7 linked regions of the Kluyveromyces lactis genome follow. The protein of the gene in region 1 purifies or fractionates together with the protein of each later gene. This does not show direct contact. Links are inferred from orthologs where the notes say so. Each region holds a gene or a part of one and is shown in the gene's direction. Other genes may lie near its edges. The genes, in order: RPN6, RPN10, RPN13, RPN14, RPN2, PRE1 and RPT1.

Evidence for each region.
Region 2: the proteins of RPN6 (region 1) and RPN10 purify together in Saccharomyces cerevisiae (affinity purification with mass spectrometry; 8 studies listed by BioGRID, with this or other methods). This does not show direct contact. The link is inferred for Kluyveromyces lactis from reciprocal best matches to the Saccharomyces cerevisiae genes RPN6 and RPN10.
Region 3: the proteins of RPN6 (region 1) and RPN13 purify together in Saccharomyces cerevisiae (affinity purification with mass spectrometry, with the first as the bait; 4 studies listed by BioGRID). This does not show direct contact. The link is inferred for Kluyveromyces lactis from reciprocal best matches to the Saccharomyces cerevisiae genes RPN6 and RPN13.
Region 4: the proteins of RPN6 (region 1) and RPN14 purify together in Saccharomyces cerevisiae (affinity purification with mass spectrometry; 3 studies listed by BioGRID, with this or other methods). This does not show direct contact. The link is inferred for Kluyveromyces lactis from reciprocal best matches to the Saccharomyces cerevisiae genes RPN6 and RPN14.
Region 5: the proteins of RPN6 (region 1) and RPN2 purify together in Saccharomyces cerevisiae (affinity purification with mass spectrometry; 5 studies listed by BioGRID, with this or other methods). This does not show direct contact. The link is inferred for Kluyveromyces lactis from reciprocal best matches to the Saccharomyces cerevisiae genes RPN6 and RPN2.
Region 6: the proteins of RPN6 (region 1) and PRE1 purify together in Saccharomyces cerevisiae (affinity purification with mass spectrometry; 4 studies listed by BioGRID). This does not show direct contact. The link is inferred for Kluyveromyces lactis from reciprocal best matches to the Saccharomyces cerevisiae genes RPN6 and PRE1.
Region 7: the proteins of RPN6 (region 1) and RPT1 purify together in Saccharomyces cerevisiae (affinity purification with mass spectrometry; 8 studies listed by BioGRID, with this or other methods). This does not show direct contact. The link is inferred for Kluyveromyces lactis from reciprocal best matches to the Saccharomyces cerevisiae genes RPN6 and RPT1.

What each region holds. Positions count from the first base shown.
Region 1 is NC_006041.1:137,037-140,261, forward strand, and holds RPN6 (proteasome regulatory particle lid subunit RPN6), read left to right. Parts: upstream 1-1,160; coding exon 1,161-2,438; downstream 2,439-3,225. Other genes in the region: dolichyl-phosphate-mannose-protein mannosyltransferase PMT1, read right to left, coding at 1-171; TPP1 (polynucleotide 3'-phosphatase), read right to left, coding at 2,532-3,225. UniProt on the Saccharomyces cerevisiae protein: Component of the lid subcomplex of the 26S proteasome, a multiprotein complex involved in the ATP-dependent degradation of ubiquitinated proteins. In the complex, RPN6 is required for proteasome assembly.
Region 2 is NC_006038.1:356,500-359,409, reverse strand, and holds RPN10 (proteasome regulatory particle base subunit RPN10), read left to right. Parts: upstream 1-1,354; coding exon 1,355-2,098; downstream 2,099-2,910. Other genes in the region: KLLA0_B03927g (uncharacterized protein), read right to left, coding at 624-872; GTPase-activating protein IML1, read left to right, coding at 2,539-2,910. UniProt on the Saccharomyces cerevisiae protein: Multiubiquitin binding protein.
Region 3 is NC_006040.1:245,128-247,707, forward strand, and holds RPN13 (proteasome regulatory particle lid subunit RPN13), read left to right. Parts: upstream 1-1,198; coding exon 1,199-1,819; downstream 1,820-2,580. Other genes in the region: guanine nucleotide exchange factor DCK1, read right to left, coding at 1-892; KLLA0_D02904g (uncharacterized protein), read left to right, coding at 2,050-2,352; URA4 (dihydroorotase), read right to left, coding at 2,489-2,580. UniProt on the Saccharomyces cerevisiae protein: Component of the 19S cap proteasome complex which acts as a regulatory subunit of the 26S proteasome, involved in the ATP-dependent degradation of ubiquitinated proteins.
Region 4 is NC_006037.1:775,554-778,914, forward strand, and holds RPN14 (Rpn14p), read left to right. Parts: upstream 1-1,406; coding exon 1,407-2,678; downstream 2,679-3,361. Other genes in the region: replication factor A subunit protein RFA1, read right to left, coding at 1-954; Golgi transport complex subunit COG7, read left to right, coding at 2,981-3,361. UniProt on the Saccharomyces cerevisiae protein: Acts as a regulatory subunit of the 26 proteasome which is involved in the ATP-dependent degradation of ubiquitinated proteins.
Region 5 is NC_006039.1:807,295-811,597, reverse strand, and holds RPN2 (proteasome regulatory particle base subunit RPN2), read left to right. Parts: upstream 1-1,419; coding exon 1,420-4,221; downstream 4,222-4,303. Other genes in the region: KLLA0_C09306g (uncharacterized protein), read left to right, coding at 1-1,014. UniProt on the Saccharomyces cerevisiae protein: Acts as a regulatory subunit of the 26S proteasome which is involved in the ATP-dependent degradation of ubiquitinated proteins.
Region 6 is NC_006038.1:1,023,562-1,026,378, reverse strand, and holds PRE1 (proteasome core particle subunit beta 4), read left to right. Parts: upstream 1-1,526; coding exon 1,527-2,114; downstream 2,115-2,817. Other genes in the region: DNA primase subunit PRI1, read left to right, coding at 1-1,135; DEAH-box ATP-dependent RNA helicase PRP22, read left to right, coding at 2,453-2,817. UniProt on the Saccharomyces cerevisiae protein: Non-catalytic component of the proteasome which degrades poly-ubiquitinated proteins in the cytoplasm and in the nucleus. It is essential for the regulated turnover of proteins and for the removal of misfolded proteins.
Region 7 is NC_006041.1:1,214,441-1,218,106, reverse strand, and holds RPT1 (proteasome regulatory particle base subunit RPT1), read left to right. Parts: upstream 1-1,426; coding exon 1,427-2,854; downstream 2,855-3,666. Other genes in the region: AVT3 (Avt3p), read left to right, coding at 1-1,169; DNA-directed RNA polymerase III subunit RPC25, read right to left, coding at 3,035-3,666. UniProt on the Saccharomyces cerevisiae protein: The 26S proteasome is involved in the ATP-dependent degradation of ubiquitinated proteins. The regulatory (or ATPase) complex confers ATP dependency and substrate specificity to the 26S complex.

The sequences.
Region 1 (3,225 bases):
AACAACCAAACGTTCTTTACTAGAAGTCATCGTACGGATAGATTTCAAATTCTTTGGTGGCTCAGTGACCAAGAAAGGTCTCAATGGACCTTTCTCAACTTGAATGTCACCAACGCTATCAACATCGAGAACACAATCTTGTACTTTAGTAGAGGTCTTAGTCTTACCCATTTTCTACAACAAAATCAAACAGAGAGTGAGACTGAGATACCTTTACAATGAGAAATACAATCAATGATCAGATCAGATCAGATACAGATACAGACAACAGATGTTTTCTCACTTCGAAAAAGCCTTGGAAATGGTAACTAAATGTTTGAGAAGAGAGAACAAAAAAAAACCAATTCAAAAATTCAATTCCAGTTCAAAGGTCCCAATTGAAATTGTCTAGCTCCTATCTAAGTTTCCCACAGATACTGGTCGACTGATACCTCTATCTGCAAAAGAAAACCTAAGTTTATTCCACCCAAAACTTGCCAAAATGAACACGTCTCTGTTTAATTTCATCCATACTATTATTTCAAATATATTTATATAATATTTACCCATACCGAGCTTTCAGTGAAATTAAGTTTTTTTTCTTTCAGATATCTACAAATAGGTGATTTTAGGTGTTTGAGGTGAAAATTATGAGTTACAGGTGTGTAATTGCTGCAGAACATGTGAGAGACAATGAACCTGAGGATGTGGATTACCAGTACCGATCAGCATATGCGGCAGATGAGAGTGAGGAGTTTAAAGATTGGCTGAAGTGAATGCAGTGAAGGGTCTTTCACGTGCTATTCTCGAGGAATGGTAAACACATCACGGAGGACGAAACGCGACTATTTTTCCTTTTTTTCGTGCGGATGTATCTGTGCTAAGATTAGGACAGTAAAGGAAATCTAATTTCGATTCACGTGACGTATAAGTCACGTGAATAGTCTACCCTTATTCAAGTTACGTACCAAATGATCGCCTTGAATTGAACCAGTTTCTGTAGTAGAATGATATATATAATCTTGTCCAAGAGATTATAGTTAAAGTAAATTAAATAAGGTGGCAAACCGAAAACATCGAGGTAGACACAATTGGCGCTACACCTGCCAGAGATCGTCTAGCAGAAGCTGAAGTTAAACTACGAAAGGAACAGGAAAGAAAGCAAATAATCCCACTTAGATATGTCGTTGGAAGAAGCTAGAAATCTTGTAGGGAAGGAAGATTATGAGAAGGCTGAAGCGCAGTTCTTAGCAGTATTGAACCATCAAGATGCCGCACAACCCCAATCAATTAGCAATAAAGATGCTCAAGAAAAGGAACAATGTATTCTTGAGCTAGGTCAATTGTATGGTACCACACATCAGTTGAAGAAACTCGCCGAGTTTGTACCACGCTCTCGTGAATACATGATGAAAGTAGCGAAATCAAAGATTGCCAAAGTTTTAAAGACGTTACTTAACGATTTCGAATTGATACCCGATTCCTTGGATACCCAAATCGAGATATGCGAAGATTCGATCGACTTTGCCACAAAGGAGAAGAGAATCTTTTTAAAGCATTCTCTATCGATTAGGTTGGCAACTCTTTACTACCAAAAGACGCATTACAACGAATCCTTGCAATTGATCAATGATTTGTTGAGGCAGTTTAAGAAATTGGACGATAAATCGTCTTTGCTCGAAGTTCATCTATTGGAATGTAAAGTGTACCATAAATTAAGAAATTTGACTAAATCAAAGGCTGCTTTGACAAGTGCTAGAACATCCGCAAATTCGATTTATTGTCCAACATTGACAATGGCAGAATTGGATTTAATGAGTGGTATCTTACACTGTGAAGACAAAGATTATAAGACTGCTTTCTCATACTTTTATGAATCCTTTGAAGCCTTCCACAGCCAAACTGGCTCAAACACATTCGGAAAAGCTTGTCAAGTGCTAAAGTATATGCTTCTTTCAAAGATCATGCTTAATTTGATTGATGAAGTGAAAACTATCTTGAACGCCAAATATACTAAGGAGACCTACCAAAGTCGCGGAATTGACGCCATGAAGGCAGTCGCTGAGGCTTATAATAATAGATCCCTACTGGAGTTCAATACAGCAATGCAAAATTATAAGACAGAATTGATGGGCGATGAACTCATTAGATCACATTTCAATGCATTATACGACACCCTTTTGGAATCAAATCTTAGTAAGATCATCGAACCATTCGAATGTGTTGAAGTATCGCATATCTCAAAGATTATCGGGCTTGATGCTCAACAAGTAGAGGGCAAACTTTCACAAATGATTTTAGACAAAGTTTTCTTTGGTGTGCTTGACCAAGGAAACGGATGGCTTTATATTTATGAGACACCACAACAGGATGCCACTTATGATTCTTCGTTAGAATTGATCAATCAACTCAATGGAGTTGTAGAACAACTCTTTGAAAAAGCCGCTGTATTATACTAAAATTAAAAATTCATTATAATACGCTCATCCTTCAATCATTAAAGTAACTTAGTAAATAAATATATTTTACGTAGGTTTAAGATCATTCGAAATTCAAATAAAGTATTCCTCCGGTACCTTGAAAGGTACGCCCAATATTTTAGCAAACTCTTTGTCACTGTCACTAAAATCATTTGGTCTTCCTGCAGCATCCCCGCAGTAAAATAAAAGTTCAATTGAGTCCGATTGTTCGTCAGAATCTTTAAGAAATTCATCAAACAAACCACGATTGGGTTTTCTCACATTATCAAACATTTCAGGTGTTACCATTGTCCCGTTTATTCTTTTCTTCTGGCCAGAAATAATGTTCTTAACAACTTTATTTGCGTGAGCAGTGCTGGCGGCTTTGCTGCCACCAAAAAGGGAAGCTGGTTTTTTAGTAGCACAGTAAATCCAAATACGATCACACAGTTGAGAATCGTTTTCCGATATGTATTTCAATACTTTGCAAATTTTATCAACGTGTTTTACGCAGCTTTTAGAGGTTCTAGGTTCACTAACAACACCGCCTTGGTTGGAGAAGAAGACGATGTGAAAATCTGGTGTTTCCTTCATTTGTGCCGAAAGTTTAGCAAGTACCTCGGTTTTTCCATATTTCATGAATATCCAATCATCTGATGTCCTACTGAATCGGCCTTTAACTGGTTTGATCACGGTGTGATCAAGGTCAAATGAGATGACCTTCCTTACAGGGGCGGGATCTTTGGGAACCCATTTTATGATATGAGGGAGAATGGTAAGCTTATGA
Region 2 (2,910 bases), on another chromosome or scaffold:
AGAACTAGGAACCTTGGGTTTTTGTACTACTTAGAGTGCCTTCCTTCCAAGACAGTGGGTATCAGGAGGCTATTTAGAACGTATATTTCAACTTCTTTATATTCCCCGTTTCGCTACTCTGCTCATCAAGCACATCAAGACTATACTAATCAAACTATTTTTTTTAGTTACCGGAACGCACACAGTTGTGGCGTGCAGGCGTAATCACACGGACGCAAAGTTAGAACCATTGGTCCAAACTGTGTATGCGAGAATGAGTAAGACTGAATGCTAGCGAGGACGCTAAGGGAAGTTCTTTTTTTTTTTCCGGAATATCAGATGTTTACCTGCTGACTGGTAAGATAACAGTGGATTACTCTTTCACAACAAAAAAAAAAAAAAAAAGAAAACCGTGGTGTTTGTGTATGGTAAGACTTCTTGACCAACAAAAAAACATCACGTGGGAAATCATTACACGTGACTATTAATCACCCGGAGCACTAATTGGATTTCTCGCCCACTTTAATATCACCACAGAATTGGGGGGAAACAGTCTTTCGATCTTAGGCATGGTCACGTGGGAGTTCGTTCTGAAGTCCCCGGCATCCGTTCTTCGATTTGGTTAAACGATTTTAAATGCACTTCTAAACATCACCAGCCCTTTCACGGTCCAGGGTTTCCTGGATAGTTCCATCCCTCAATTTAGCCTTCTCTTTCCACGTAGAAATCACAGATTCCAGCATCTCTTTGGTGTTACCTTTCACTCTCTCTATCTCATTCAGGGCCTCTTGCAGTTTCTCTTCCTGGCGAGTTATTAACGCACTTCGAATCTTCTCTCGTTGCTTTTCAGTAATATGCTGCCCGTTTTTGGAACCATCTTCGCCGGTACTCATCACTGTTTCTCTATTAGTCACTTCGGCGGATAAAATCTCAAGTGCTTGATCTTCATTATTTCACCTGTTTGTTTACTTATATAAAGATCCGAAACCTTAACTTTTGGTTTTGACAGAGAGTTTGCGAAGTTTCTGCCATAATACGGAGAACGACAGAAGGCCCTGCAGATTGATCTGCGTGAAGGGGAAGAAAAAGAGAGATTGGATTTTTATTACCCGGATTTATTAATCTAGTGGGTAATTTGGTTCAAAGTAAAGTTAGGTTAATATTTAATATAGAGAAAAGAAGTAGTTCCTAGCTACAGTTGCCACCAGGGAAAAGAAGGTTAACTAATGGATAATTAAGTTGCTGAACCCATTCTATATCAATTAAGATTGCGTACCGCTATTCTATTTTAAAGCGAGATAATTTTTTGTAGTCTTTGATTGAATTATTCTCTTATTTGGAATCATTTTAGAACAGATATATTAAGGAAAGAGAGATGGTTTTAGAAGCTACTGTATTGGTTGTTGATAACTCGGAATATGCCAGGAACGGTGACTTTCCAAGAACTCGATTTGTGGCACAAGTTGATGCCGTTGAGTATATTTTCCAGGCGAAAAGAAACAGTAATCCAGAGAACACTATAGGGTTGGTATCTGCTGCCGAGGCAAACCCAAAAGTTTTATCCACATTCACAAACGAATTCGGTAAGATCTTGAGCGGACTACATGATATCAATATTGGAGGGTCCATCCATTTTGCCACTGCCATACAGATTGCTGCATTGACTTTGAAACATAGACAAAATAGAGTACAGCGTCAAAGGATTATTATATTCGTTTGTAGTCCAATCACTGAGGATAGACAGGATTTGATTAAGATGGCAAAGAAGTTGAAGAAAAATAGCATTGCGGTTGATGTTATCAATTTCGGTGAAACTGATACGAACGCTGACCTATTGGAGGAATTCGTAGAAACGGTCAACAGTGGGCAAGAGGATAGTAAATCTACTCTTTTGAACATTGATGCAGGCCCCAAACTACTCTACGAGCATGTAGCAGCATCGCCTATTGTACTTGAAGGTCCTGCTGCTGAGGCTGGCTTCTCAATGGGAGGTAATGACGATTTTATGGACTTTGGTGTTGATCCATCCCTAGATCCTGAATTGGCAATGGCATTGCGCTTATCTATGCAAGAAGAACAGGAAAGACAGGAACGCATAAGACAAAACTCGACAGAGTAAGTCATTCCTTTAAACTTCCGCATTCTTAACAACCTCCGTCTCATATAGGTATCTATTCTGTATACTAATGACCCAGTAAATCGTCATAACATGGCCCTTTAACAACTCAACTTCTTAATATTGTACCCTCTCCCAATATCGAGAAAGCCAACTTCAGTTCATGGTTTACTGCAAGTTCTCATGGTATTAACTATTAAGCTTCGAACATGTCCATGTATGAACATTGTCCTATTCACGTGATATATATTTTGTACCCTTTCAACAATAATCTACGAAAAAACCAATAATTTGAAAAATATCAAGATGCAGACAAGACAAAACACATATGGATGAAGAAAACTCATCCACTCAACCTCATTGTACTTTTTTTCTCCAGTTTGCATTGTAGAAGCAGTGAAATTGATCAATTGTCAAGGATCCCTAGTCGTCTTCCTTAAGACATGCCTCCCGGGGAACTTATATTTTCTAACCTAAGGTCAGGATCAAGGCCTGTTCCAAGGGACAGGGATGCCCTGTCATCAGTGCAAAGCGATGCCATCAGCACCAAATCTTCTGCAAGGTATAACTTTCAAGGTACCGGTTCATCTGATGCAACTTCTGGTACGAATGTTACAATTAGAAATAATACTTTGAGTATCGGCGTCAGCTCTCAAATGCAAGGATCTGCGTTCAACGGCCCTCGGATGCAGTTATCGACCAATGGTTTGAAAAATACTCAATCTAAAGCCCTGCAGGCGCAATCACAAGATGGTTGTCAGGATAGTAAGAATATTGCGGATAATGATAGTGACGCAGAAGCGAGAACAGCTAAA
Region 3 (2,580 bases), on another chromosome or scaffold:
ATTGAGGAGATACAGAATCCGTCAAAAGCTTACCTGTAGCCTGGTCGCGAGTCAAGATTGACTCGAACCCGAACGGATCAATCCTGTTCCTTTTCTGCAATGAGCCGATTTTTTTCGTCACTGAATGTGATGCGATGAACTTTGAAAATATGCTCATCAAGGCAGTAGCCTTTTTCATGATCAATGATCTTTCGTTAGTGGCCATAAAATTTGCTTGAAGTTGAATTCTGACTGCATCTAACTTGTAGTATAAGTCGACCATCTGATCCACGATTTCAAACTCACCAAATGAGTAAAGATAATAAATATGTTTTGTTAATGTGAATAAATTTAACAAGATTTCACGATTTAGCGCATATCCGTTTGCAACGAAAAATGGATATGGAGGTGGAGTTTCTCTTGAAACTTTCGAAGCACGCATTAATTGATACAAACTCGGTAGTTTTTTGAGTCGACCATCCTGTTGCTCTAATTCAGTACCAGTGGGGAACCTCAAGAATGCATAGTTCTCGATCTGCTCGTCAAAATCCAAATGAACAAATCGTCTGGGGAAAATCACTCGTTGAATTTTCTGTTTCGGTAAATTGTCAGTAACAGATCCCATATTGCTCATGAAGTCGATTGGCATTAAATCATTGCTAACATAACCACGGCACCATTTTCCATCCTTGGTCTGTTCCATAACAAAAACTTCATCGCCAGGATACAGATCAACATAATCCGATGATTTCAATACTAGCTCTGGACACTTCTTTAATGGAAGAAACGCTCGGGCAACAGTCCCTGGAATCAATCTATCAGTGGGGATCCATTCGAACTGTCTCAGTTCCGTGTGGTTTGCAGGTGTGTCGCTACTACCATTGGCAGTAGCATCATTATTCGATTTCGTCATTCGTACAAAAAACCACCACTAAATCAATAGTTGTGACGAAAATAGTTGCAAGAGATATCCGAAAACTAGCCAATTGTATCTAGAATTCCGAGTGCATTCACTGATCGGTGTTAATGATGTTGTACAAGTCCAACCCAATGTGCATTCACTTAGTTCTGAATTAAATATCCGTTCATGATGTGATGATTTCTACCATCTTAGTCTTTCCAAGCGGTTTCATAAGAAATTTTTCATAGAAAAATACTACCATATCTTGGTCACATGATTAAGCCTACAACATTATTCTTTTAAGGAAAATATGAACAAATGGCGTCAGCAGTGGCAAACTGTTTAAATAGGACCTACACACACGAAGATATCAATCATAGAACATCTGAGAGATTGTCAGACCAGTGGTATAGGTTTAAAAGAGGAGAGAAGAATATTGATATGACAGAGGCGATCAGTTTTAGGGCAGGAAAATGTGATTATGATGAGGAGAGTAAAATTTGTACGCCGAAGCAGATGAAGGGGGAGATCCAGATCAAACCCAGTGAAGAAGCGCAAGGGTTTTTCGATTTCCAATGGAGCACTAAGGATCGAGTCTCAGGGTCAGCAGTGGAACCAATTGAGTTTATTTTGATTCCCGGAGAGACGAAATGGATCGATATAAAGTCAGCTAAGAACGGCAGAGTGTTATGTTTACTCTTCTCTACTGGTGAGAAATGGTTTTTCTGGTTACAAGAAAAGCACCAAGGCAATGAATCGTTGAACGAATGGAGTGAAAAGGATAAAGAGTTACTTGCTAAGCTTCAGAAACTGTTGGAATTTGAAGAGGAAGAGGAAGAGGAAGAGGAAGTCAAAGAACAAGAACAAGAACAAGAACCGGAAAAGATGGAAATTGACCCTCAAGACAATGAACAGCCGAAGGCCGACTCCAATCCGTAAGTATATACGCGTTGTACATTACTCATTTTGAAGCAATAGATCAAAAATAAGGAACTGTAAACAGTATTTGAGATTTGATAGGCATTTTCAACGTCCAACTCTCCTTCTTTTCAGATCTGTTATTTCCAAATCATTACGATTTTATCATTACCAAATTAAACTATATTTTACTAATACTATGTCCTAGTACCATCCGTATAAACCATCTTTCTGATTTCCTAACTAAAGATATGTTAGTGAAGTATATTGGATCTCTTTCTGAGGAGTCTACCGAATTCAAAGAATTATGTAACTGTTTGCCTGAGGATGTCGAAAAGGGAAAAGAAAACCTTTTGAAATGTGTAAGAGGTCCATTCTTTCAGCAAGCAGTTGACATTTTGGACTTAGCTACGAAGCAGAGCTATTCGGGACAACAACTCTCACAAATGTTTGGATATTCGTATACCGGAGAAGGACCACGAGCTCTACTGGAAGGACTTAGAAATAAGGGCCTCCAGGAAAAGCTAAAGAAGCAAGATTCACAATCAGAATAAGAAAATGGAAACAAAATTAATACTGACCGTTGGCAGCAGCTGGTAAATAAGTATCTACATAAGATTTTTAATGGACCACTTATATATGAGAATAAATATAGGTATATATGTGGGAGAAGATGGTTGTTAAGCCTGACTAGTCCCATCTGACAGCCCAGTGTAACTCATCTCCAGCTTTGAATGGAGCAACTCTGAGGCCTTTTCCATCAGTGATTATTTCTGGGATAT
Region 4 (3,361 bases), on another chromosome or scaffold:
TTCCACATTATTGACATCATTTAGTTTGATGAAGTTGAAATGCATCTCTGGAACATCGTTAGCATCCTCATTCATACATTCTTCAACGACACAATCTCTTTCTAAACTTAATTCGTAAGGATGCTTCAAATTAGAGAACTGAGGTTTAGCAGGTTGCACTCTAGCCTTTGATACAAAATAAGCTTTACCCTCCTGTAAAATCTCGTTAAATTTGATCGCATTATCGTTGAACGCAGTGGCTCTAATTTCACCAGAAGAATCCAACAAATTCACATTCAAGATATGGCCCTCACCTCTATTATTTTGCCACTTCTTCAAATCACCTTTGAAAGAAACTCTGGCCTTTATGGTCCAGTTGTTCTGATATGGAGAAATTTGTTCAATGGCAAAAATAGGCCTTGAATTTTGGGATGACCCATTATTCGATTTTGCCTTGGGCACAGAACGTGGTTGTGGGGCTGGAATGTTGCTGGTACTGGTAGGAGCCATCTTAGAAGTCATAGACGATGTAGCAGACGCAGCTGCCGATGCAGCCTCGGATGCTACGGCCCCGTTATCAGTCAAAGTCACCAACTCATTCATATGTTCACCCAAATAAGCATCGACAAATTCTGTAGCATTATTAAACAAATCTAACCCACGGCTAACAATCTCTATCTCATCTACTAACAACACAAACTTCTTCTTCTCTTTGATCACTGCGCATTCCGCGTTCAACACTTTGAAAACATCCCCTCTTTCTAATTCTGCCTGTTGAGCCGCCTCTGCAGCTTTGTTCCTCAAAAGAGCCTTGACATGGTATTTTCCATCGTTGATGAGAATCAAATTCTTTTTAGCATTAGTCTCAGTCTTCTTGGTTTGAACAACCTGGTAAATACCGCCGGTAGGATTGTTGTACCTCTCCGGAATACGGAAAATATCCAATAAATCACCTTCCAATAGTTGAACACCCATCTTCTTCTACCTATTTTAAAGACAAATAGCAGAACAAATCCGTTACTTGACTCGACTTGGCCTGGGTTTCACCTGTAGCTAATCTATAACTGACCCTGAGATGGCGTTGTTTATTTACAGTTCGCCTTTATATACTCTGCGGAAATTCGAAAATTTTTCGTTGAACCAAAATAAAAGGGATAAAATCGAGGAAATTGCTTTCGCGTTTACGCGTCTTACACGTGAGTATCACATGACTATCTTTCAGGTGGTTATTCACGTGACTTTGGGTTTTTTGAGCATCAGGTACGTATTACCTTCATTGATGATGAACAACTTAAACACCAGCAGTGGATTTCTGATTTATGGATTTTGAGCAATAATGTCAGCAGGTTTCCTGTGGATATCAACTGTCCAAACAATTTGCCCGTTTTACTGTATACCTTCCTGTTATTTTCCCTTAGTTAAATATAATGAGAGTTGAGGAATGGAACATTTGCAGTGAGTTTGATGATATTCTTGATGATGTGAGAGGAGAAAAGGTTGCCAGCGATAAGATATGGGTATCCAGGAGCAGTGGTGAGCCATTATACGATTTGGAATTTGATGTACGGTTAGATTCCAGGGGTAATGTTGGGTTTCATAATGCGAATACTTCTGATAAAATTTCCTTTCAAAGGGTAAGGCCACATTTATATGAATTGACAGGACCTGATGCGACAGCAGGACATTTAGCTTCGTTTCAAAGTCCGAAAAAACGGTTCCAACTGCCTTCTGATATTGGAGCTGTTGATTTAACAAGTATAGATATCACGAACGTGTTTGACCCCGAGATACGTTTGGTTTGTGGTGATACGAATGGTGGCATATATGTGCTACGGAAGAACACCGGTACCAATTATAGCGGTCCATTACAAGAAGTGATAAAGTTACCGGAAGCGCACGCTAGTCACATCACCAAGACCCAATTTTTCCCTAACGGCCATGGATTCTTAAGCAGTAGTATCGATATGCGCTTGAAGATTTGGGATGCTTCAACCGGTACTGAGCTCAGAACTTTCATAGGTCATACTCGGTCAGTCAACGATTTTGCCATGGTCGATAGAGGTAGAAACTTCGTCTCTGCAAGTTCGGATGGATCATTAAAACTATGGGAATGCTCAACTTCAGCATGTGTCTTTACGCTCAATTCAAACGATGGCATAAATTGTATTTCATTGGCCAATTACCAGGGAAATCCAGCGACCACATCGTACAATGCATTGGACCATAGCAACGAATACAATACTGAGGGGAAAGCTGTATTTGCTGGACACGACTCTGGTATCATCACGTTTCATGATATCTATAACAGAAAGAAGATATTGGATATTTTACCGGCAAGTAAATCTGCATGTGTCACTCTAACGAGCCAGCACATTGCAGGTGATGACCATTACCTATTTGCTGGCTATTCGGATGGTACGATAGTATCATGGGATACTCGTAACGTTTCCAAACCGGTGGAGACGCTCCAGGTAAATGATAATGATTCTATCTCAAGATTATTCTTGGCACATAACACGTTGAACGTTTCTAGTGGGGTCCAATTTGCTTTCAATGTACCTGTTTTGGACGGGAAATTCAATTTCAATAAGCTTACACATCTAATTCGTCCTTATGATGAAGTGACTGATTTCTGTGTTGATGAATCACATCAAAATGTTTGGTGCGTCGGAAAAAATGGTATGCTATTGAAATACTGATTTGTCGTCCAGTCTAAAAGAGAAGCAATAGAATTGTAAATAGAATTATACCCATATATAGTCCAATAAATTATCCATACGTTGCTCTCATCAATGTGTATAGTAATATCTGCTTTGATATTGTATCCTTCTCTTTTAAACCTTTCTTACTGTGCATCTGAAGGCACCAAAAATCATCTTGAAATCTTAACATCAAAATGAAGAAGTTAACCTTCTACCTCTAAATATGATGATCATGAAACACCCAAGTAAGCCACCAAATCACCTTTGAAGGACGATATAGCACTATAATTTCCTACACGATGAGTAGAAGGATATCTGGTGCTAATGACCCTTTGCTAGACATGTTTTTCGATGATGATTTTGTACCTCAAGCATTCGTCGACATATTGTTATCATCTTTCCAGACAAGCCAATTAGAAGAATTGAAGACCAATTGCTCTAGTCTACTTTCAAAAATGGACTATTACAGTGGGCATATTACAAAAGAACTTGAGTCCACTATTCAGGTGCTTCAGAAGCCTGCTGAACTTATTATATACGCAGCAAATGAGGAACAGCAAGGAACAACAAAACTAGAGTATTATTTGGATACTCTAGCGAATAGTGTGAACTTATTAGAGACAGACGTTAAAGCTATTGATAAACAATTAGAAGAGCTGAATTCTAAATATGAAGACAGT
Region 5 (4,303 bases), on another chromosome or scaffold:
ACTAACCAAGTTGACCTTGACTTCGCTGCCAAGCATGGTATTGCTGTTTTCAACTCTCCATTTTCCAACTCCAGATCTGTTGCCGAACTAGTTATTGCAGAAATCATTACCCTAGCTAGACAATTAGGTGACAGATCTATTGAATTACACACCGGTACTTGGAACAAGGTTTCTGCTGCCTGTTGGGAAGTAAGAGGTAAGACTTTGGGTATCATCGGTTACGGTCATATTGGTTCTCAATTATCTGTTTTGGCTGAAGCTCTTGGTATGAACGTTCTCTACTATGATATTGTCACTATTATGAGTTTGGGTACTGCTAAGCAGGTTTCTACTTTGAATGAATTGTTGAACAATTCTGACTTTGTGACTTGTCATGTTCCAGCTACTCCAGAAACTAAAAACTTATTGTCTGGTCCTCAATTTGCTGCTATGAAGGATGGCTCATACGTTATCAACGCATCTAGAGGGACTGTGGTTGATATTCCTGCTTTGATTCAAGCAATGAGAGCGGGCAAGATTGCCGGTGCCGCTTTGGATGTGTATCCAAATGAACCTGCTAAGAATGGTGCTGGTGCCTTCAGTGATAATTTGAACACATGGACAACTGATTTGGTCTCCTTACCAAATGTTATCTTGACTCCACACATTGGTGGGTCTACTGAAGAAGCCCAAAGTTCTATTGGTATCGAAGTGGCTACTGCACTAACGAAATACATCAACGAAGGTAACACCGTCGGTGCCGTTAACTTCCCAGAAGTTTCATTAAGAGCATTAGATCTGGATCAAGAAAACACTGTACGTGTACTATATATCCATCAAAATGTTCCTGGTGTTTTGAAAACTGTCAACAACATCTTGTCCAACCACAACATCGAAAAGCAGTTCTCTGATTCTAACGGGGACATCGCATATTTGATGGCTGATATTTCAAATGTTAACCAAAGTGATATCAAACAAATATACGATGAGTTGAACGAAACTGACTACAAGATTTCAATCAGATTACTATATTAAAATGCTATGTTAGAATACTAATTCAACTTAGTTGCTTTTCACTTCAATTATAATATCGGTATAGATAAAGGATAGAACGTATAATTATATATTGTATGCATGATAATAGTGCTTCTCGATTTTGTAAATGGTGCAATATTGATCAACTGGACAACTGCGACTATCTTGCAAAGCACATTTCCTGATGGAGGTGGAGAGCATATTCTTGAAGAGGCTCTATAAAATCATTCTATACGATTAGGGTAGTTTTTGTATGGTTTCTGATTTAATTTGACAAACGGTGGCAAACTTTAGAACAGAAGCTTCAAAAGTATATAAATAAAGTCATTTACTATTCGCACCACATCTGCACATTACCAGGTTACATCGAGACTTAAGGTATTTAAAGCCGTAAACTCAACCAGAATGTCAGTTACATCTGCATTGCCGCTTTTGGCGTTATTGAAGGAATCTGACAACACTGTTAAGACTCATGCATTACAATCAATTAAAGACGTGGTAGATCAACAGTGGTCCGAGATATCAAATGATATTACCGAAATAGAAGCATTGTATGATGATGTATCCTTTCCTGATCGTAGACTAGCAGCAATTGTGGCCTCAAAAGTGTATTATAACCTTGGAGAATATCAACTAGCGGTTAAGTATGCCCTAGCTGCAGGAGAGTATTTGAATATCGATGAACAGTCGCAATATGTCGAAACGATTGTGTCACAGAGTATCGAAATGTATATTGAATTTGCTTCTAGTAACTACGAATCGGAACCTGTTGAAATTGATCCACATTTGGTTTCTATCTTTGAGAGAATGTTGAAGAAGTGTGTTTCTTCAGGGGAGTATAAACTTGCATTGGGAATCGCATTAGAAAGTTACAGACTTGATGTTGTTGAGAAGCTTCTCACTTCCCAGGACACCAGTACTAATGCCCTCAAATTGTGCTCTTACACATTGGCTGTATGTACCACTGCATTAACCAATACTCGCTTTAAATTGAGCGTATTGAAGAAGTTGTATGAAATTGTCATGAACATGCCTGCCCCAGACTACTTTATTATCTCAAAAATTATCGTACAGTTAAATGATATCGAATTTGCCAAGGAGCTCTTCTTCAAGTTAAATTCAACTAAATCATATGATGTTTCCTACCAAATCGCTTTTGACCTAGTAAACTCAGCCTCTCAGGGATTATTGAAGGATCTTTCTAATTCCTTGGACGCCAATGTATACGATCCTAAGTTACTTGAAATCCTTTCCGGTATACCCACCTGCGATTTGCAAAACACTTTTCTATTTGAGAACAAAACCATAGACAAGGCTCTTCTGAATAAGATGAAATCATCTTTGGATGGTAAATTCTCCTTATTCCACACAGCTGTGAGTGTGTCCAATGCTTTTATGCACGCAGGGACTACGGATGATAGTTTTATCAGACAAAATTTACAATGGTTAGGCAAAGCCCAAAACTGGGCCAAATTTACCGCTACTGCTTCACTAGGTGTTATTCACCAAGGCAACCTCTCAGATGGAAGAAAGATAATGGAGCCTTATTTGCCAGGAAATGGTTCAAAATCGAGGTATATCAAAGGTGGTTCATTATATGGTCTAGGTTTAATTTTTGCCGGCTACGGTAAGGAATCAACTGACTACTTAAAAGAGCAAATTCAAGCTAATAGTTCTTCCGTTGGAGAAGAGGATGTAGATGTGTTGCTACATGGTGCTTGTTTAGGTATTGGGTTGTCAGGTATGGGCTCGGACGATGTGAATGTTTGTGAGATGTTGAAAGAAGTGTTATATGGAGACTCAGCTAAATCTGGTGATGCGGCTGCTTTGGCTATTGGTTTAATTTTACTAGGTTCAGGTAACCAAACTGTTATTCAGGACTTGTTAACTTACGCAGAAGAGACTCAACACGGTAATATCACAAGAAGTTTATCGATTGCCTTAGCTCTCATAAATTACGGCAAAGAGGAACTAGCTGACGACTTGATTGATAAGTTACTAGCCAGTGAGAACGCCCTGTTACGCTATGGTGGTGCCTACACAATCGCCTTAGCCCATGCAGGGACCGGAAATAATAAGGCTGTGAAAAAACTTCTTCACGTCGCAGTCTCGGACTCCGACGACGATGTTAGAAGGGCAGCAGTCACTGCCCTAGGTTTCGTGTTAATTCGTGAATATACTACCGTCCCAAGAATCGTAGAACTTTTGTCAAAATCACATAACGCTCATGTCCGTTGTGGTACTGCGTTCGCTTTGGGTGTATCCTGCGCTGGTAGAGGCTTACAGGCAGCTGTGGATGTATTAGAACCTCTTTTGAAGGATCCAGTTGATTATGTTCGTCAAGCTGCTATGATTGCCACTTCAATGATATTGATTCAGCAGACTGAAAAAACGAATTCAAAGGTGAAGGAAGTTAATGAACAGTTCATGTCAGTAATTGGAAACAAGCACCAGGAAGGACTAGCAAAGTTCGGTGCCTGTATTGCCCAAGGTATCATGAACGCTGGTGGTAGGAATGTAACCATCGAATTGGAGAACACCGAAATGGGAACTTTGAACAGTAGATCAATAATTGGTTTAATGATGTTCTCCCAATTTTGGTACTGGTTCCCATTGTCCCACTTTTTATCGCTTTCGTTCACTCCAACTACCTTAGTGGGTTTGCGTGCTAGCGATTTGGCAATTCCTAAATTTGCTTTCAAATGTCATACGAAGGAGGGAATTTTCACCTATCCTCGCATGTACGAAGAAGAGGTGGACAAAAATATAGAAAAGTTTGCAGCTGCCGTCTTGTCAACTACCGCCAAGGCCAAGGCAAGAGCTAAGAAAGGTAAAAAAGGAGAACATGAAAAGGTTAAAGAAAAGGATGCAGAAAAAGTAAATGAAGAAAAGCAAGAGGTGGAACTGGAGGAAAAAAAGAAGGAAGAGGCCAAGAATACTGAAGAAGCTAAGATCAAATACACGACAACGAGCTATGATGTTGAAAACCTCACCCGTGTGCTTCCGCAGCAACTCAAATTCATATCTTTTGCGAAAGATAGCCGTTTTGTACCTGTTCGCAAATTCAGAGGAAACTCAGGTGTCATTATCGTTGAGGATAAGACACCTGAAGAACCACTAGAATTAATCAAGACCGTAAGACAAACAAAAGATATATATGCCCCATTACCATCTTCATTTAAAGTCGAGGATTCTCTTGAATTTTAATCGAGAAATTAGGTCCTAGCAATAGCGGTCATCCTTCATAATGTACAGTAAATAATCACCTCAAACTAAGTCGTATCTATAT
Region 6 (2,817 bases), on another chromosome or scaffold:
ACCTAAACCAGGCCGTGATATCATCAATAGAGAATTCGCGATGGCGTTCAGATCTGGTGCATACAAAAGATATAATTCGTTCAACAGCGTACAGGAGTTCAAAGTACAGATCCAGAAGGCTAATCCAGATAGATTTGAGATCGGTGCAGTGTACAATAAACCGCCAAGGGAGCGCGACTCTTTACTTAAGACTGAGATGAAACCGATGGAGAAAGAATTAGTTTTCGATATCGATATGGATGATTATGATAGTTATAGAACATGTTGTTCTGGGGCACAAGTGTGTCCCAAGTGTTGGCACTTTATTAAATTAGCTATGAAAGTAATCAATTCATCTTTGGAAAATGATTTCGGTTTTGATGAGTTCATTTGGGTTTTCTCTGGTAGACGTGGTGCCCATTGTTGGATTAGTGACAAGAGAGCCAGGGTCATGACGGATTCTCATAGGAAGAACATGTTGGATTATATGAACGTGGTTAGGGATAGAAATATTGAGAAGAGATTGAATTTGGTTAGACCGCTGCATCCACATCTATCAAGATCTCTGGAGATTTTGAAACCTCATTTCGTTGAAATCATTCTAAGGGAACAAGACACTTGGAGAGATGATGAACTAGCGATAAAATCTTTGGCTACCAGTTGTCACGACAAACAGCTATCTGAGCAGCTAAAGAAACTATGGACCAACAAACCTGGAAGATCAAGTGAGGAAAAATGGAAGGACATGGATGTGATAGCGTCTCAGCTAATAAGTAGCTTTCCTAAACAGAGACAACACGATTATTTGCAGAGACTACGCGAGAGTAAAGAAGATATCATCATCCAAACGCTATACCCTAAATTAGATGTGGAAGTCACAAAACAAACCATCCATTTACTCAAGGCTCCATTCTGTATACATCCATCCACTGGTAACGTTTGTGTACCGATTACAGAAGAGTTCTCACCAGAAATGGCACCAAAACTTATAAAATTACAGAACGAAATGGATACTAACGATAATCAAGTGCAACGCACTTCACTACAACCGTACCTAGACATGTTCGGAAAGTATGTCAACAAGTTGGTCAAACAAGAATTATCCTCACAAAAGAGAGACCGTGAAGAAGATATCAAGTCGTCTATTGACTTCTGAATGCCTAATTCAGCTGTCTTGCATGATCAAGCACATATATACATATGTATATTTACAAATAAGAACAATACCTATTTATCGATACTACCTGAAACAAAACAGTAAAATAAAAAACATTCAACAAGTGTATTCTTAGTTACTATCACCCCACAATTGGCGCCTAGCTTGGGCTTCATTCCTGCGAATAAAACGCTTTGTCTGTTTCTCTCTCTGTGTATTGTCACCTTTCATACAGTGGAAAACCTTTAAATGATGTTTGAAAATGTTTAACTAAAATACAATTGACAAAAAGAACATACACTTACGGTGGCAAACCTTTATCAGGGAGGAAACAGGGAAATATAGGGTCTATCGACAGTGAAAAGAGTCAAAGTTTATACTAAATCTCCCAATGGATGTTCTATTAGGTATAAGAGTCAAGGATTCGGTGATATTGGCCTCTTCAAAGGCTGTAACTAGGGGTATTTCAATTTTGAAAGATTCAGATGACAAGACCAGACAATTACTCCCTCACACACTAATGTCGTTCTCTGGTGAAGCTGGTGATACAGTACAGTTTGCTGAATATATCCAGGCTAATATGCAATTGTATTTGATTAGAGAAAATTATGAATTGTCTCCTCATGCGGCATCGAGTTTTGTTAGAACAGAATTGGCTAAATCCCTAAGATCGAGGAAACCATTCCAAGTTAACGTATTAATCGGTGGTTATGATACCAAGAATGAGAAAGCAGAGTTGTACCAGATAGATTATCTAGGTACTAAGGTAGAATTACCATACGCTGCCCACGGTTACGCTGGTTTCTACACATTCTCTCTATTGGATCGTCATTACAGAGAGGATTTAACAGTAGATGAAGCCTTAGGTTTATTGAAGCAATGTGTACAAGAGCTAGAGCTAAGAATGCCAGTTGATTTCAAGGGGGTTATTGTAAAAATCGTGGATAAGGATGGTGTTAGGGTCGTTGACGACTTTTAGTGCAATCTTTCTAACCAGAATCAAGTACATACACATATTTACATCTTTTGTATAAACAAAACTCAAAGTAATATCTTATCTCAGAAATACCCAAGAGTCAAAAGCATTTTAAGTTTGGAGGTGTCGCTGGTAGATTAGCGTGTATCGATTTGTCTTCTCTCTCTTTTTGACGTTGATCAATATACAATTTTGAGATTTATTGACTTTATTGTAAACCATCTTATCTCATCTCATCTCAACAAAACATGAAAAAAAGGATAGGCAACATCACTGCAACAGCTTCGTCTGATCTGTCCTTTCTAGTACCTACCTAAGTTAAGGTTGCTGCTGCGAATAGCATGTCTGATGTCAAGAAGGAGATATGCAAAGTACTCGGTTTAGATGATGAGATAGTCGCTGATTTTATCATCAACATAAATAAGAACTGTACCACGAAGAATGAGTTTAAGAAAAAACTGTTGGAGATGGATCAGGATTTGAGTGCCGCTGTTGTGTCCGACATTTATGATGTGGTGAACAAGACTGCTGGAAGCACAGCAGCCACAAGGGTTAAGACTCTTCTTGCTGAGCAGCTTGATGTTCACGATGATGTTGTCACCAATTTCATTATGGACATTTGCAGTAAGAGCGAAACGTTGCTCAAATTCCGGGCAAAATTGAAAGAAATGGAGGCTGGTGTATCGGATAGTCTAGCTCTTCGTAT
Region 7 (3,666 bases), about 1.1 Mb from region 1:
CCACCACGAAGGCGGTACTTCTCCTTCTAAAGTCGTTCGTAGGTACCGGGGTTCTTTTTCTACCTAGAGCTTTCCATAACGGTGGGTGGTTGTTCAGTACGCTGTGTCTTTTGTTCTGCGCCACGGTGTCTTTCTACTGCTTCATCCTGTTGATAGACACGAAGACTGCTGTTGGAGTGGATGGATACGGTGAATTGGGTTCACGTTTATTCGGACCCAAATTGAAGTTCACTGTCCTTTCATCGATTGTACTCTCGCAAATCGGATTTGCTGCTGCTTATACTGTGTTCACTGCAACAAACTTGCAGGCATTCTTCAAACATGTCTTTTCTCTCGAATACTCGTTAATCTTCTGGATTATGATCCAACTAGCATTCTATTTGCCGCTATCATTGACTAGAAACATTGCAAGACTCAGTGCCACCGCTTTGGTAGCAGATCTTTTCATTCTCTTGGGTCTAGTATACGTCTATTATTATTCCAGTTTCTATATTTGGAACCATGGCATCGCTTCGGATTCCATGGTGTCTTTCAACAAATCGGACTGGACGTTATTTATTGGAACTGCGATATTCACATATGAGGGTATCGGTCTCTTGATCCCAATCCATGAATCTATGGAAAAACCTGCACATTTCAAACCGGCATTGATGTACGTCATCCTCGTTGTAACAATAATATTTATCTCCTGTGGGCTCATCTGTTACTCTGCATTCGGAGCCAAAGTAGAAACTGTCATCTTGTTGAATTTCCCCTCGAACAGTATCTTCACAAACGCAGTACAACTAATTTACGCTCTGGCAATTCTCCTATCGACACCATTGCAATTATTCCCTGCTATAAAGATCCTCGAAAACAAGATTTTCCATAAGAATGCGTCCGGGAAATTTGACGCTAAGGTGAAATGGCGTAAAAATTATTTCAGAGCGTTCGTGGTCCTCATCGCAGTGATTATCGCATGGATCGGTGCTAACGATTTGGATAAATTCGTGTCTCTAATAGGATCTTTCGCTTGCATACCGTTGATTTACATTTATCCTCCTTTATTCCACTACAAAGTGTTCGAAAATAATAAAAAATTACAAGCAATAGACCTGGCGATCTTAATATTTGGAGCCCTAGTGATGTCATACACATCCTGGCAAACGATAGCATTATGGATTCATTAGGAACCTTATACACACAAAAAGACCTCTCATGTATAACGTATATAACGTTCATTAGTTGGAACTCTTTACCGAATATCAATAAAACCGGGTAACATTATCTCTTAACAGTGGAAATCTAACTTATGGAAATCGAACTAAAGATTTAAAGAGACTGATAATATGGAAAATCAGTTTGGAAAGGGTGGCGAATGGAGAGAAGTGAGGTCAATTCGTTATATATCGAGTTAGTAAGGAGCGCAATACATCAGTAAAACATTATGCCACCAAAGGAAGACTGGGAGAAGTACAAGGCTCCTATTGAAGACGAGGAATCGAAGGAGGAAAAGAAGGTTGTGCCACTTTCCGAAGGGGACATTGAAGTGTTGAAGACTTACGGAGCAGCACCATACGCTAAGAAGCTTAAATCTATCGAGAATGACTTGAAGGAAATTGAGAAGAAGATTAAGGAGAAAGCTGGTGTGAAAGAGAGTGATACAGGGTTAGCACCATCACATTTATGGGATATTGTTGGTGATAGACAAAGGTTAAGTGAGGAACAACCACTACAGGTGGCTAGATGCACCAAGATTATCAAGGCAGAAAAGCCCCAGAGAAGTGGGAACGCACTAGGAGGAGATGCTGATGGAAATGGAGTTGCAGCAGCAGCAGCAGCAGCAGCCGCAGCAGCGGCCGCTGCTTCTGGCACAGAGGATGAAGACGATGACGATGCTAAGTATGTGATCAACTTGAAGCAAATAGCGAAGTTCGTTGTCGGACTAGGAGAGCGTGTTTCTCCAACGGATATTGAAGAAGGTATGCGTGTTGGTGTGGACAGATCCAAGTACCAAATCGAATTACCATTGCCTCCAAGAATTGATCCAAGTGTTACTATGATGACAGTGGAAGAAAAACCAGACGTTACATATTCAGATGTTGGTGGTTGTAAGGAACAGATAGAAAAACTGAGAGAAGTGGTGGAACTACCTCTTTTATCACCAGAAAGATTTGCTACCCTTGGTATCGATCCTCCAAAGGGTATTTTATTATATGGCCCACCGGGTACAGGTAAGACTCTTTGCGCTCGTGCTGTTGCTAACAGAACAGATGCAACGTTCATTAGAGTCATTGGTTCAGAGTTGGTTCAGAAATATGTGGGTGAAGGTGCTCGTATGGTGCGAGAATTGTTTGAAATGGCTCGTACTAAGAAAGCATGTATCATCTTCTTCGATGAAGTGGATGCTATTGGTGGAGCCCGTTTCGATGATGGTGCCGGTGGTGACAACGAAGTGCAAAGAACGATGTTGGAATTAATCACCCAATTAGACGGGTTCGATCCTCGTGGTAATATCAAAGTCATGTTTGCAACTAACAGACCAAATACATTAGATCCGGCTTTGCTAAGGCCCGGTAGAATAGATCGTAAGGTAGAATTTTCATTACCTGATCTAGAGGGTAGAGCCAACATTTTCCGTATCCATACAAAATCTATGAGCGTTGAGCGTGGTATCAGATGGGAGTTAATTTCAAGATTATGTCCAAACTCTACTGGTGCAGAATTAAGATCCGTTTGTACTGAAGCCGGTATGTTTGCTATTAGAGCTAGAAGAAAAGTCACTACGGAAAAAGATTTCTTAAAAGCTGTCGAAAAGGTTATCAATGGTTACAAGAAATTCTCTTCCACTTCACGTTACATGCAATATAACTGATTGTACATGTATATAAATATATATATATATATATATATATAAGTACAGAATGCTTATAACCCTCATCATACTCAAGGAAACAAGTCAGCGTTAGAGACTTAATACTAAGAACAAGGAGCATCTTCTTTTGATTGAAGAAATATATAATGTACATATATACATACTTAAGAAATACACTTTTTATTCCCACCATGATACTAATCCAGTACCATCTGTTTGGCAACTTCCTAGTAGAGCATAAGCCGGTGGTTTTTCGAGGATCCGTTTCTCCTCTTCCGTCAACTCTTGCTTTGCCCTAAGCTGATCCTCAAGCTCTTTCTCCTTAGGCGATTTAGGTTTCACGTCTACAAACACTTCCTGTTCTACTCTGAATCTGATCTTTTCGTTGACATCGAAGTATAGTTTGGTCTCATCGTCCATCGGCCATATCCATGCATTCTCCTTCGGCGAGAAATATGAGCCCTCAAATAACATGTTTTGTGGTACAAATATATCTTCAAACAATCCGAGCAGTGAAACCTTGATACCTTCTGTTGTACACTGTGATATCCATCCTGTTACGATCTCTCCAACAAAAGGTTTGAACACTAAAGCGCGGAAAGTAACATTGATAAACGCTGCGCCATCACCAGGTTTTAGTTGCCCCTCATCAACGTCTAGTACATCGTAAACAGTTACGCACAATCCAATATGTGGGATGATCTTGTTGGCATATTTAGTGTTCAATTCATGTACAATGGTCGAAATTGTATCTCTTTTGAATTGATCTGGAGGTATCCTAACCAGATCTGCTACCTTTGTCAGTATAAACA